Arabidopsis thaliana: one gene and its partner. The protein of the gene in region 2 interacts with the protein of the main gene of each other region in a pairwise test. Each region holds a gene or a part of one and is shown on either strand. Other genes may lie near its edges.

Evidence for each region. Proteins that work in one complex are often made in the same cells at the same time.
Region 1: the proteins of WRKY54 (region 2) and NAP1;1 interact in binary tests that used the Arabidopsis thaliana proteins (3 or more experiments, as listed by UniProt).

Annotation. Positions count from the first base shown.
Region 1 is NC_003075.7:13,229,854-13,237,982, reverse strand, and holds NAP1;1 (nucleosome assembly protein1;1), read right to left. Parts: upstream 5,416-8,129; 5' UTR 5,272-5,415; coding exon 5,226-5,271; intron 5,104-5,225; coding exon 5,060-5,103; intron 4,865-5,059; coding exon 4,769-4,864; intron 4,609-4,768; coding exon 4,516-4,608; intron 4,364-4,515; coding exon 4,273-4,363; intron 4,180-4,272; coding exon 4,118-4,179; intron 4,029-4,117; coding exon 3,844-4,028; intron 3,706-3,843; coding exon 3,528-3,705; intron 3,450-3,527; coding exon 3,406-3,449; intron 3,269-3,405; coding exon 3,079-3,268; intron 2,974-3,078; coding exon 2,956-2,973; coding exon of another isoform or gene 2,923-2,955; exon of another isoform or gene 2,553-2,922; coding exon 2,481-2,552; 3' UTR 2,075-2,480; downstream 1-2,074. Other genes in the region: AT4G26120 (Ankyrin repeat family protein / BTB/POZ domain-containing protein), read right to left, coding at 1-83, 169-907, 978-1,538; CK1 (casein kinase 1), read left to right, coding at 7,475-7,550, 7,645-7,685, 7,834-7,903, 7,996-8,129. UniProt on the Arabidopsis thaliana protein: May modulate chromatin structure by regulation of nucleosome assembly/disassembly. Contributes to the regulation of cell proliferation and cell expansion. May function in nucleotide excision repair (NER). Involved in somatic homologous recombination.
Region 2 is NC_003071.7:16,998,757-17,005,275, forward strand, and holds WRKY54 (WRKY DNA-binding protein 54), read right to left. Parts: upstream 3,773-6,519; 5' UTR 3,599-3,772; coding exon 3,186-3,598; intron 2,698-3,185; coding exon 2,596-2,697; intron 2,406-2,595; coding exon 1,880-2,405; 3' UTR 1,663-1,879; downstream 1-1,662. Other genes in the region: WRKY55 (WRKY DNA-binding protein 55), read left to right, coding at 220-520. UniProt on the Arabidopsis thaliana protein: Transcription factor. Interacts specifically with the W box (5'-(T)TGAC[CT]-3'), a frequently occurring elicitor-responsive cis-acting element.

The sequences.
Region 1 (8,129 bases), on a different chromosome or scaffold from region 2:
TGTAAACTCGCATGTTTCCTCCAATTTGGCAATACCCTGTACAGTTTCAGTTTCCACTGGAAAGAGAAGTCGAGCAAGTGCAACTGAAAAGTATAGACCATCGTTATCATTAGTTCCACTCATTTTCCTACCCGAAATTCGATATTCAAGTGAAGGAAGAAAGCATACCTCGGTTTTCATAATAGAGCAACCTCATCCTCAACTCCTCTGGAGTTACTGGAAGAGAAAGTGAAGCCTCTATAGGCGACAAATATTCTAGTTTTTGTTCATGCTCAAGTACCTCTATGCATAATCCGCCTTTCAGAGAAGGCGTACCGTCCTCCGTACTAGTTTTGTAGTCATCCGCTTTAGTGAGTCGTTTTACAATCACTAAAGCGGTTCTACCATCCAATGTTGTGTCTAAAATATTTGCCCCTTTCATTAACAAAGATATTATCAACTTCGGCTCCTTCCGCATCGCAGCAACATGAAGCACAGTGTATCCCCTCGGATTTCTAAGGTTAACATCCGCAAGCTCAAGCTCGAGGAGATCATACGCGGTCTTCACAGCGCAGTGAGCGATAGCAAAATGAAGAGCATACGCCTCATCGAGATTGGTGTGTCCTTCTAGCAAAAGCATCTTGACAAGCTCAACATCATCTGAGTCTAGCGCCTTGTATATGTTCTTGACATGCCTTTCTAGTTTAGGTGGCTCTAGACAGAGCGCTTCGCGGATGTCTATGATTTGCTTGAAAATGTGTTGAGGTAAAGACTTCTCAAGACTAACTAGTTCTATATCAGACTTCACGATAATTTCTATGCATCTATCCAAAAGCTTCTTGTATGTTGTACCACATAGAGTATCAAGCTTGAATATAACCAAGATGTCTTCGACTACAACTTTGTCTACAATTTCCAAGAACTGCCTCTGAAATGAAAACAGAGGAGACTTAAGATGATGTTATGAGTCAATGAGAATTTAGTGGATTGTGTTTTACCTCATACAGAGTAACTAATTCTTGAATCTGGAAAACGAAAGACAGATAAAGAACCTCCACCATGAAATCCACCTTTGACCGGCAAGCCACGTGGCAACAATCGTCGTCTACGCAAGCAGAAGCTCCCTTCGGCGGGGACCTCACTCTGCCGCTGTAAACATACGCCAAAACCGCCACAACCGAGTCAAAGCCGACTTCGTAATCTCTGGCGATCTCTTTCAGCTGGAGCTTCACGGTGGTGGAGGATTTTTGTTCCTTCACGGTGGCTAAAGCGCTTTTGAAGACAGGAATTCTCGCGGAAAGAATACAACGGTGAAAAGAAACTTCCCGGCCGCCGGCGAGAACTAGCTTAGCATCGCTGTAGAACGTCTCCGGCGAGTCGAAAACAGACTCGAGGCAGTTAGACAGAAGTTTAAGAGCTGATACCTCCGGTGGCGTGAGAAATTCCGTCGGATAATCAAGAGATGACTCGGCGGCGAAGAAGCTATTGCCGCTTGTGTTGCTGAACTCGTATGAATCAGAGAATCTAGCGGTGGTGGTGGTGGTGGTGGTGGCCATCATCACGAGATCGGCGGGAAACAAAACAGAGTCAAGAGTCTAATAACAGTGGAATTTCAAGAAACAACGACCGAATCGTTTCATTAGCAAATAAAAAAACGTATCATCAACAACGGTCTTTCTCAAGCACCTTTATTAGTAAATTTCTTGGAAACTAGATAGGTTTCTTAAAACGGAATATATTACGTCAAATACTCTGAATGGTAACGAAGCGGTCCCCTCTTCGCATGTCTCCAATTTACCAAACAGTGTTGCGACTTTTGAGTTTGTTTTTCATAACACCAAACACAAACAAGTGTCTCAAGTTTATTTAGCTAGCTTTTTTTTCCCCTCATTTAGCTCTAATGATGCATTAAACTTCTTAAGTAGTATGTGATTAGTCCAAATTGTGGATGTTCGGAACCTCACTTTCTTTGTGTTTTCCTTCTACAATAATTTAAATTATAATTAGTGTTGAACAAGCGGAGGCATTTAGTCAAATTACTCATCTTAAAGGTGAACTGATTTCGACCGATTTAGACTTGACTAATATAATATGGTCATAGTCCAATTATTCATCTTTTGTAGTCTTACACAACAAAATGGTTACCATTGAAAATCAAAGGACGGTGAACAAAAGAATAATGATCATTCCCACTACCCATTACTATCTAAATGGTTATTAAAATCTCTTTCGTCGACAAAGTTTAGGTAGGGGATGAAGTAGTGAATGCAGAGACTAGGGATGATGATGCTTGATTCATAAATTAAATACCAAGGTATATTATTAAAGTGCTTTAGAGAAAATAAACACACCAATAGAAAAACGAACGAAACTCCTACAAGATGAATTTCACTTTTAAAAATCCCAAAACCTTTTCTCAATCCTCATTCTTGATGAACAGAGAATGACCTGAATTATATTTTCACGCAATCCTTTTATGTCTGGTAGAGCGTAGTAAAAGATTACTGTTGCTTGCATTCGGGTGGCCTCTCATCTTGTTTACCTTCACCAACTATCTGAGATCTCCCTCCCTTCTGCAGTCCAAGAGGAAAAAAAAATTAAGCAGATGATTCTCACATTTATCACAAACATAGACACTGATTGCTAGTTTGCTACTATAGTAATAAAATGAATTCATGAGAATGGTTCTATCTCGTACTGCCCATGCCATGATTAAAGAGCTTGTTTAGTCTCTGCTGTGTCATTCATGTATCCTTCTCAGAGTCTTCTACGTAACTACCTATTTACTGATTCATACTTTTTAGGATTGCTCAGTTACTTTCAGCAATCTGTATGATTCATGGGCCTCTAGAGCCTACATTTCCGATATTAATTTCTATTTTCATCACAATGCTCAGCCTGAAACTTCTTGTGTTTGGTTATTTGAATGTTGGAGTTCCAAAATCAAATAAACTTTAGTTCTGAAAGGTTACATACCTTGTTGCCGATTGATGGCTGCAAAAAAAAATATTAAGCGATTTCAAAGGATTAGTAAAAAACTAACGTGGCATGAAGAAAAAAAAAAAAAAAAGAAACAACTATACTTGGGGCACTTTATACCTTCTTTTTGGTCTTGCTTTCTTCTTCATCCTCATCATCATCGTCCTCCTCATCCTCTTCGTCTTCCTCATCTTCATCCTCATCAATGTCATCTTCCTCATCGTCATCTATTTCAAAATCCTCTGCTTCCATAGCCTCACCAGTAAACCATGAGACAGCACGAGGAATAATCTTTTCCCGAATAGTAGATCTGCAGAAAGTAAAAAGTACTTGTGATCAGATAATAATGAAAGGGTAACCACCTTGATTGCAGTGATAAAGTAGTCCCATGACTCAAAAGCAAACCCATAAAATCAACAGAGAAAGTGTGTTTAGAAAAAGACGAACCCGATGTCATAATCTTGTTCCATCAGGTTTTGAAGATCCTCAGCCTGCATCAAAGAACGAGAAAGAGTTACTAAATACATTAACTAAATGATGACAGGTTTTTCTAACAATCGTTATCTTACTCTTTCCTCGTCGATATCTTCATCTTCATCCGGAACTTCTGGAGGACTAAAGAAGTTGAAGAAGCTTTCACAATCTTCGAGTTTGGTGATTGGTTTAGTATTCTTTGAACCTTTCTTAGGCTTCTTCTTGAGAATCTTCTGAGTTAGACACTTTCCAGGATACCAATCAATTTCTGTCCTGAAAATGAATGGTGAAAGAATAAGAATCCATTTGCAATATAAGCGAAGAAAAAAAATAAGCAGCTCAATGCAATCAGCTAATAAGCAGAATATACTTAAAAGTATACAACAATTGCAAGAGAGTATAAGTAGTTACCCCATAGCCTTCTCAAGCAGTGGCTCATCTTCATCAATCATATGATAAGACTTTGTCAAGACAGTGTTCTTAAAATACGGATTCGTGTCAAAGAAAAACTCAAGTTTGAATCCTTTAGGCTCTTCAATCTTGCACCACTTAATATCTTTAAGATATTTGAGAGCCCCTTCATCACGCTCTGTGACCTGACATAAATGACAATAAGTTATGCTCATATTCCATGGTTATGATTGGAGTGTTTATAAAACGAACACCAAAACTGCATATAGGCTACCTCCTCGGAAATAACATCGTTATTTTTCAGAGCTGTCAGCCAGAAACTTGGAACTCCTTTCTCTGCAATGAAAAACAGAGAAAAATGTTAAATTGTTTTTGTCTTTCCAAAAAGATTAACAACAAACAAAGAAGACATAGTGCTCATGAAGTTACCTTCTGCAGTTTTCTCCTCTCCTTGGTCCACCTTGGTATCATCCTCTGGAGCCAGTTCAACTTCAGTAGTGCCATTCACAATCTCATAACGCTGTGCCATTACAAGATACCAAGTAGAATTCATTAAGATGCACATAGAAAACTAACACTGCTGCAGATAAGTAAACATAAGCAAAAAGAGTATACACAGATCTACATTGAGTTTAGTAAAATGGTTTGTAAAACTTTCTCATTAACAATTACCTTGACATACAAAGGCTGATACAGCGTTTGATACTTGGCTTCAAGAATAGCTCTCTCCTCACGGAATTTTGCCTCTAGTTCATCATGTTGGCTCTGCGTGGAAAGAAGTCATCAGTAATCAAAACGCAACACCTTACTTTTGAAACTTTAAATTCAGATAAGCAGGGAGAAAACTCACACAAAACAAAACAAACCCCATTAAACGATATATAGCACACATAGTTTGGTAAAATGTGAAAGAAATTTCGCTAACCTGTATATCCCTCAAGGCATCAACGCGCTTTCTCACATTGGGAGTCAGATTCTCGAGCACATCAGAACGCTGACCAGCCAGATTCTGCAGCTTGTTCTGTGAATTAATAACAATGTATTAACAACTCATAAACTATCATTGTACTAGAAGAATGACATTGAAACCAAAACACTAAACACCAAGACACGGCTTATAGTATCTAAACAATCAGAGGAAAGTAACTCAACATCCTCCATATCTTTCAATAGCAAATGCTCACGGGACAGTTTACAGAAGGGGAAAAAAACTCACCTTTAGAGCATTGACAAGGCCAGCTCGATCCTCGTCCTTAAGAGCTGCAAAAAAACAGTAAACAAAAGGAACACCAGTCAGATAACAGAGGAAATTAGGGTTAAAGCAGCTCTGGCTTAAGAGGCGGAGAAAGAGATAAGAGTAATCGTGAGTAGGAGTATTTTACCAGCAGTAAGATCGGAGACGTTGAAGCTATCCTTGTCGTTGCTCATCTTCTGAGGATTTGGTGAAGAGAGAGATTTTGAAGAAGAAGAAGCAGAAGAGACTAGGGACAAGGGTTTTGGGGAGGCGACTCGTAACCCTTAAATCCTCTTTGTTTTTTTGTTTTTTTCTCTCCCTCCTTTTCACACCAAAATTATAACAAATGCCATTTTAGTTTTTTCTCTTTTTATATATACTTTTCTTTCTCTAAAAATTGATGTTTAATGTTTTAAAAAGCAAAATTAAGTTTATTGAATTAAATAACATGCAAAACTTTACATACATATATATATGGATAATGAGAACTGACTTATATATAGATAATTAAAGTTTATTTATGAATTCAATCAATTATAAATATATATAACTAATATATAAACTTTAATTATCTATATAATTAAAATTTTGCATGTAATTATATTAATTATCTATATACTTATATATATATATATACACTTATATATATTTGATTCTTCACCAAATACAGTACAGGTTAGTGAACTTTAATGGGATCAAATAGAAGATTTCTGAATCTGTTAGTACTAAGGCCCATCCCAAGAATGAGCCTTCCAAGCCCAATACACTGATTACTTCTTTTGTTCACATACACTGTACATACTAATTAAAAACAAAAAACAGTCCACAACAAAAACAAAAAAACAGTCCACAACAAAAAGTCATATCCCAAAAGGCACAAAGATCTTTAGTTTGGTTTAAGCTCATCCCGAGTTCAAACGAATTAAACGTACTCTAATCTAGATTAGCTCATCACGACATTTTCAATTTGAAGTTTCAACCTTTTATACGTCTGACCAGAAACACAATAAAGAAGCCTCACGCGTAGCATTTTTTTTTAACCAGAAAACCATGAGACAAATTCAACCTAATCAGATAACTGTAAATCATTTCATTCATCCTATTAAAAGCAAAGGTGAAAAGCTTTTTGTACCTCCACGACTCCCACTTAAGAGAAACATTTTGTAGAGCTTTCAAGTCACGCGTAGCAAACACACCTGGTAAGTGGTCAATCTTTTTATATCATATAGCCATCATAAGAGTATCATTAATAGTAGTTTCTTAGCATAATCTTAATAGTTCTTATGAATATTTTTATAATTGATTTTGAAAATTTTGAAGTTAAGAATTTAGTTAAGAGATTGAAATTTTGGCAATATGCAATGGTGGACTCTTAACTTGAGTTCTTAAAAAAAAAATTGGAAAAAAAGTAGAAACATTATAATTTTAAAAAACTTAATAATTATTACAACTCAAAAAATTTGAAACATACATAACATAAAATTTTAAACAAATATGACAAACAATTAGATTTAATACTTAATTTATCTAAGAATTAAGATTAATTGAATTAAAACATTATATTTAATACCTAATTTATCTAAGAATTAACCTAAGAAACATTAGATTTGGCTCTTATATAAGAGTCATTTTTAACAATTAATTGAATTATAACATTAAATTTAAGACCTACTTTATCTAAGAACTAACCTTATAAACTATGAATAATGATGGTCTAAGCGCGCTTGTTGTTGAAACTCTCAAATAAACCGGATAATTTTAAAACCAGGTTTAGTTTAGTTGGTAGATTCGGCTCAAATAGTAGTATTTTTGTGGATTTAAAGATGCTCAGCATGTATATACATATGTGTTCTATAGATGTTTTACACATTTTTTCTATTTTACTATTCTGCTTGCCATAATCATTAGATTGTTTGGTTGAACCGAAGCATAGAAACCAAACCGAACATAGCACACAGCAACAAAACCGGAATCATTCAGAGGTAAATAATTTTTTTACATTACCCGCAACTGCAAGGAAAGAGGAAAAAAAAAAAGACGCAAACTTTGAGAAAGACATCCTCATCGTTTTCTGTCCATCGAAGCTCTTTTTTTTTTTTTTTTTTTTTATCTTCGTATTCAATTCTTGAGAGGAGAGAGAGAGAGAGAAGCATCCCAGAAAACGACATTCTGTTCATATGGAGTTTTTTCACCAGATCGAGAGCACGAAGAAGATGATTACTGGGTTTTGATTTAGTCGGCGAAAAATCCGTAATCTCATTGTTCGTGATCTCTGGGTTGTTTTTCTGGATTGCTGGTGCGGCTGATTCTAGTCAGGATTGTTTTTGGGGTCCCTTTCGCTCTATTTGAATCTGCGTCTGGGTTGTTAAGATTGTACAAGGGGTTTCGTGGTTATTTATGGAACCTCGTGTGGGGAACAAGTTTCGTCTCGGCCGAAAGATCGGTAGTGGTTCGTTTGGAGAGATCTATCTCGGTTCGTCTCTCTCTCACTTTCTAGTTTTTAATTTTATGGATTATCGAATTCGTCACATTATCTCTAACATTGTTGTTAACCTGTGATTTTCCAGGTACTAATATTCATACGAATGAAGAACTGGCTATTAAGCTTGTGAGTTCTTCAGTCATCCCATTTTAATAATTTGATGATCAAAAAGTTTATGGATTTATAAGTAACATTATCACAATATGTTTAGTTTGATCAAGTTCAGTATGTTGAAAAGCTGAGATTTTGATTCTCTTTGTTTTTGTTTTCCCAGGAAAATGTGAAGACAAAACATCCACAGCTGCTCTATGAATCGAAGTTATACAGGATTCTACAAGGGGGAAGTAATGATTCTTATCTTCTGAATGAGATATTGATTTCTGATAATGTAAAGTTTGTGTTACTTATGACCTTTCTTTTGCCTTAACTTTGGTAGCTGGTGTTCCAAATGTCAAATGGTTTGGTGTTGAAGGGGACTATAATGTTTTGGTGATGGATCTACTCGGACCAAGTCTTGAAGATCTCTTCAATTTTTGTAGCAGGAAACTTTCATTGAAGTCTGTCCTCATG
Region 2 (6,519 bases):
CCACCAAGTTTATTAGTGATAGAATGACCAAATAATCCTATTATTAAAGTTCAGCTGGAAGTTGAAACTTCGATGTTACAAGTACATATCTTTCTCAGATTTCGTTATCAAATACCTTTAATCTAATTCAATCATTAACTACGTACTTTAAAAAACAAAGTTATTAGCTACTACTTGATTATCATATAGATGTAAGATTATTAAATTTCTATTTTGCAGGGCGTACTATAGGTGCACCCACCAAAAGCTATACAATTGCCCGGCCAAGAAACAAGTCCAACGCCTTAACGACGATCCCTTCACCTTCCGGGTCACATACCGTGGCTCACACACTTGCTACAACTCAACCGCTCCAACCGCATCCTCTGCCACTCCAAGTACCATTCCAATCTCATCCGTCACCACTGGTCATTCTGTTGACTACGGTCTTGCTGTCGTTGACATGGCTGATGTTATGTTTGGTAGCGGCGGGGTCGGAACCAACATGGATTTCATATTTCCTAAAAACGATCCATCTTAACATCATCACCGTTTCCGGCAGCTGGATGACGGATTGACGGTGACGAAAACAATCAAGATTCATCTACGTACAGAGGAAAAATATACAGTATTTCTTAAGATTAAGTTCTGCGGATTTTATGTATGGGTAGTGAGTGATGCAGTGCCAACATTAGCACAAATCACTAATTGTTGTTAATTTAATTTATTTATATTACTATTATTATAGTTTTGCACTATTACACGTGAAATGGGATCTAATGAGAACCATTTCTTATAGGGTAGTAGTTCTGTTTCTTTGACAATGAAAAAGTGTTTTGTATTTAGTGTTTCACATATGTATTTTGTTTTTCTTCTCAATCTCTTATTTTATTCTTTTCTTAAAGTTAACATATATAGAAAATCTTACATAACCAAAGTAATTTCTTTAAGAAATCAAAATTAGGGGGGAAATTATTAGTTTGTCAGTTTCTCACAAACTGTCATGAACTTGTTGTTGGTGTTTTTTTCTTTTTGTTGTTGTCTTTTCTCAAACTTAAGAATCCAAATAATTAGAAAAGGTGTGTTCCGTGTCTAAACAAGCTCTTCGAGTGGAAGTGATGGTCCTTTGACCGTCATCATTCTCATGAATCCAAATTTGCTTGCCTTTTTGTTCATCTTTTGTGTTTGTTATGTCGACAGAGAAAACACTTTATTCTCTCAATTATTTTCATAGCAGTACACTGTAACATATATAAAAGTCATCAATATTTAGACATCTATTAAAAATGATTTCATGGAGTTATATTTGATTTTTCAAATTACAGGGGTGAATTAAATTTAGTTTGTATAAGAAAAAGTACTTGTACCGAACCGAACATTATAGCTTAATTTATTTTGTTTTATTGTTGTAACAAGCATTAATCAATGCCCTAGTGTACACGGTGATGCTTATGTAAAGGTAACATGCCAACAACAACAAAAAGACAAGCACGACAGTTCCAAAATGCATTTGTCCCAACTTTTTCCTTTTTAGCAGCAAACATTCATAGCCGCAATTTGAATGGATAAGTCTCTTTACACTCTTTAGGTAATCATATTCATCTATCATAATTATAGAATCCAAAATTAAAAGCACTAATAATAACCATAAAGACAAATGAACTTGCGCAGTTATGGAGGTTGGTTTATTCTAAGTTTAATTGGTAATCCATTAAAGTTTTGCCATCTTTAGTGTCATGATGTATCCAAAATAAACTTGTGGAAGAAAAAAACATGTGAATGGTGTAAAAAGAGAAGTATATATGGTGTTTTTATCAAACATACAACAAAAATATTACATTAAACTAGACATACTCAAAGAGAAGACCTAGTGCTGATTCATCATTCCAGATTTGGATGTTCACATAGCACTTGTTCTTTCATAATCAGCACAATATGAGTCGAAGAAGGAGGAAAACTGATCATCGTTGTCGATGAAACCAAATTGATGAGAAGTAGTACTGGTTTCACCACAATAGTAGTGATTTTGATGATCATCAAACATCATCGTCTCTTGCCAAACCAATGACAAGTCCTCACCTGTCGAAGAGCCCTCATAATAATCTTTACTCTGATCACCATTGTTATTTTGTTCCTCCTTAACCATGCCTGCGTCTATTGCTGTCACACTGCTGGTGTTGTTCTCTTGCTCTTGCACCATAGCATTGACATGGTTCTGAGCAGTGCTAGCAGCCAATGTCTTTTCCGAATCCATAATGATTTCTTGATCAAAAGGCTCGGTCTTCGCGTGCGTTTGGTCATTGGCAGTGCATGTGTGGTAGCCAATGTATGTGATTTGGAACATCTCAGAATCTTGATCCTGTTTCTGAACTTGCTTTGTTGCTTTGCATCCTTGCGTTGGCTTGTGTGTGCATCTAAAGTAACTTCTGCAAAACATTAAAACGCATATTGATTTTAGGCCATTGCAAACTTCACATAGTGACTTGAAATATAACATATGTTTCGGCTAGAGATCCCTGGTATAAAAATGAGTTGCCCATGTTTATATGTATTATATATGTATTGTGAGTATATAGATACATAAATAGACATATAAGGAGTTAGGTAATTAAGGACCTTGGGAATGTGGTATTAAGAATCTCCTTTTGTCCATATTTCCTCCAAGCATATCTGTCTTCAGAACTTTTAGCTTCCACGATCCTTGTATGTGATCTCGTCCTGCAAATGATAAATCACAAATTTGTTAATAAATGACTAAACCATTTTTGCCTTTTTATGTTCATTTCAAACAAATCCACGGTACATTCAGTCTTGTTTGTACCAAACTAATCGCAATTATACACTAATAGAAAGTAAAACAAAATTCGGTAAAGTTATGTATGGTATAGTCAGCATTGATTGGCCCTATCCAATCAATCGTATTCATACGATTCCTATCACTACCATTCACACAAACAGTGATTGTATTTTTAGTATATATTAAGCACTAGACATTATGAACAAATTCATATCCTTTTAACCTTTACGATTAGTCATTTCTATATGGGGCACTACCACTATATGATGGTATCCATAGACAAAAATAGCAAATTGTAATGAAAAAAGTTCGAATAAAATCCACATAAAAAGGAGATTATATCATTAAACACGAATAAAAATATAACATAATAAATTGATATTTGAATTCAACTTTTTTTGTCACTTACTTTCTAGTGTAGCATCCTCTTTTACCCTTACCAACCCCTAATCTCTTCTTCTTACTCTCACCGGAATCTCCACCGTTGCAACTCACCGGAGTCGCCGAATCATCCCCACATGAAGCATTCCATGAACCCTCGACGGCGATGGGGACAGAGACGGCGACGGGATCAAAAGAATCAAGAACCGATATAGTTTTATGGAAAGATCCCAAGATCTTAGACATGAGCTCATCAACGGGATCTGGACCACCGGAAACTGAACCCGACCCGGAAACAAGACGGGTCTCATCGATGTGGTACTGGTTAGAGTGTTGATGAGAAAGGAGAAGCTGAAGCTGAGTAGCGAATTCATAGCCTTCGACAAGTTGGTCGACAACTTTTCTCTTTATGGATTTCGTGTTGTTACTATTCGAATCCATTTTTTTCTCACAAAGATACAATGAATATGTAACTTTTTTTAGGTTTTTAGTATGATGATTTGAGAATGAAGAAATGTTGTAATATAGTGGAAAGAGAAGAAAATAGATTTTTTCTCTTGATCAGAAAAAAATCAAAGGAAGATGCTTAGGAAAGAGAGAGAGATGCTTATGCATTATAATGAACATGAAAGGGTATAAAGGGAAAGTAACCAACGTAGTTATGAATTTAGTCATGGATTTGAGGTTATAATTGGAAAGTTATAACTTATCTATTCACCCATTGGCTTGCAAGAGCTTTGCTTATGTCACATTGATGATGTGGAATGACATCACCCATCTCCGTAACACGTTTGATGGCTTGGTGGGTATTTTTTTTCTCCTTTCTTCGCGGATTTATTTAATTAATTAATGCTCATGAAAACGATCCAACAACTTGGTTAGATTTTTAAATGTTTTTTGCGAAAAATTATTTTGTTTTTATCTTGGAGAAAGAGTTATATAACTAATATTTTATGACATTCAAATTATTTTTCAGTACCACGAAATTCACTTTCAAGGGAAAGAACCAAAATAAGGAGAACTGTTTTTTTTTTTTGATAATTAAAGAGGATAAATGTTGACAAGATATATTCTATATCAGACCAACCACTAATATATTTTAAGAGTAATTGGGTCAAATAGTCTTAAGACAGAATAATATTTAGAGTTTTATCAATCTCGTAATTTTATTTTGAAGATATAAATGTATATGTTTTGCTATATAGTAGTATTTTTCCTAAGAAGAAACTATTTATACGTGTGTATTCTCGTGCATTTACGGAAGCAGAAGGATCCTAATGAATATTCTCATTGATGAATTTTGTCATGGATAGACTAGCTACTAAAACTAAAAGCTATAAGCATATATATATATATATATATATATATATATATATAGATAATCGTGGTGAGACCGCTTAGTTCGGATCTAAAACTAGTAATCAAGATTAATCTCATTATACTAAGCCAACGTTATTTAATTTTATCTTTATGTTTTGTAGAACTGCCATTAAAAACGCCGGAAAAGTACTTAAGTAGATAATCAATGTTTTGGATCATTTGGTAAAAGAACCAATACAATCACAAGTCACAACTCTAGGTTATGTCAGCCTATTGCTTGCTTGGCCCTGATCACTTTGGCAGTACTGATTTTATTAAAAATCTATGAATTTTGAACTGAACAAAAATATTAAAATTTGTTGAAACTGTCACTACTTTAATTAATACTCGTGTAACTATTGAAATATTTGTGTGAGTCATCTCATTTAATACCAAAAATAAATTAAAACCTATGATCGTAAGAAATGACTCATTTTGAATTTTTGATCCGTTGAATGAAAAATATCTTCGTTTCATTAAAATGAGTAATTTTGAGTTGGTTAATTATTATTTTTATTTCTGTGACGCATAAAACAATACATCTTTTTTCCTACCAAAAAAAACAATATTTTTTAAAAAAGTAACATTTGTTTAGTATTGGGATATTGTGACGGCAATGAGGGGGCAGGTGCCACTGAGTACTCCTCGGAGTCACAATAATTTCAGTCCACATTGTACATCCACTCGCAAATAAATAAAAAAAATCCATAAGAGTCAAATCCATTTGTTTGCTTATTAATTCTCTAGAAATTACAGATTATATTACGCTTACTTTTTCAACTATAAACAAAAACAAAACGGCTTTACTAGTTTTAATTTATCATACAACTTAACGAAACAGATTATACCAACAATAATAATGAACGGTGAGTAGTATAATGGTAGAACGATGAAATATTTATGAAATATAATTTGTGTACGAACTAATTAACGATATTTTTGTTGTTGTAGTAGTTGACTTCGATCGTAAAAAGATGAATGTGTTATTTCTCGGTTTGAACCAATAAATATGTCCAAACAGCTTTGTTTTACTTCTTCGTTTACTCATCCAAATTCGGCATTTATCTATAAATCCCAACTGATTAATCATTTAGAGATTGTCAAAATATGGACACTAGTTATATTCAAATGTTAAATTATTGCTTTCTTTCGGAGATGATGAGAGAAAGGTCAACGATGATTGGGGAACTGCTATTGACAAATGACAAATGGTTATTAGAATAATAACAATGTTTATTATAAATACATCATTTTGTGCTTAATCTAATCTTAAGCTTAGTTGTCTTAAAAAATAATTAACCAAGAGGCCTCGATTAACGGATTGCTACTTATCGCTAAGACTACTCTGGATCATTATCTGTCACGAAATTTAAAATTTGGTTTAATTTTTTATATGCAAAACATATAGTTCTTAAATGTGTAAGTTGAATCTTATTTCGTGCTATACCCAATCAGAGAATTCTTTGTCTCAAGTATAATTATTTCATCAATTCGCAAGAGACAGTCCTTGCTACGTACGAATCTAATTTCATATTATTTTTTTAAAATACAGAAAAAGTTGAACACCAATAAAAGTACGTTGAAAACGTCAATAATTCAACTAGATCCAACTCATAGTTATATAAATTATAATTATGGTCATTATTACTTTATTTTATTTCTTAATTAGTCCCCACTAATTTTACGGCAGCCTCTACTTTTTTTAATCTTTAATGTATTTAGAACTAAATCCCATTTAGCGATCACTACTCAGATCTCAAACTATCAAGTTTTAATTTGTACTAAACCGTTTTTTTTGTAACCTAGTGATTTGTTTTATTTCTAGGTGTCATTTGATTTCAACTAGGAACACTTTTCTGTTTTGGCTAGTTGATCGGTTCTATTATTGTTTGAGTTCTGTGAGTACTAATCTGAACCCACTCTTTGTCTTATAAAGTTATAAATATATAAATATCTATATATATATATATATATATATACATATATAAAGTTGTTTATGATCA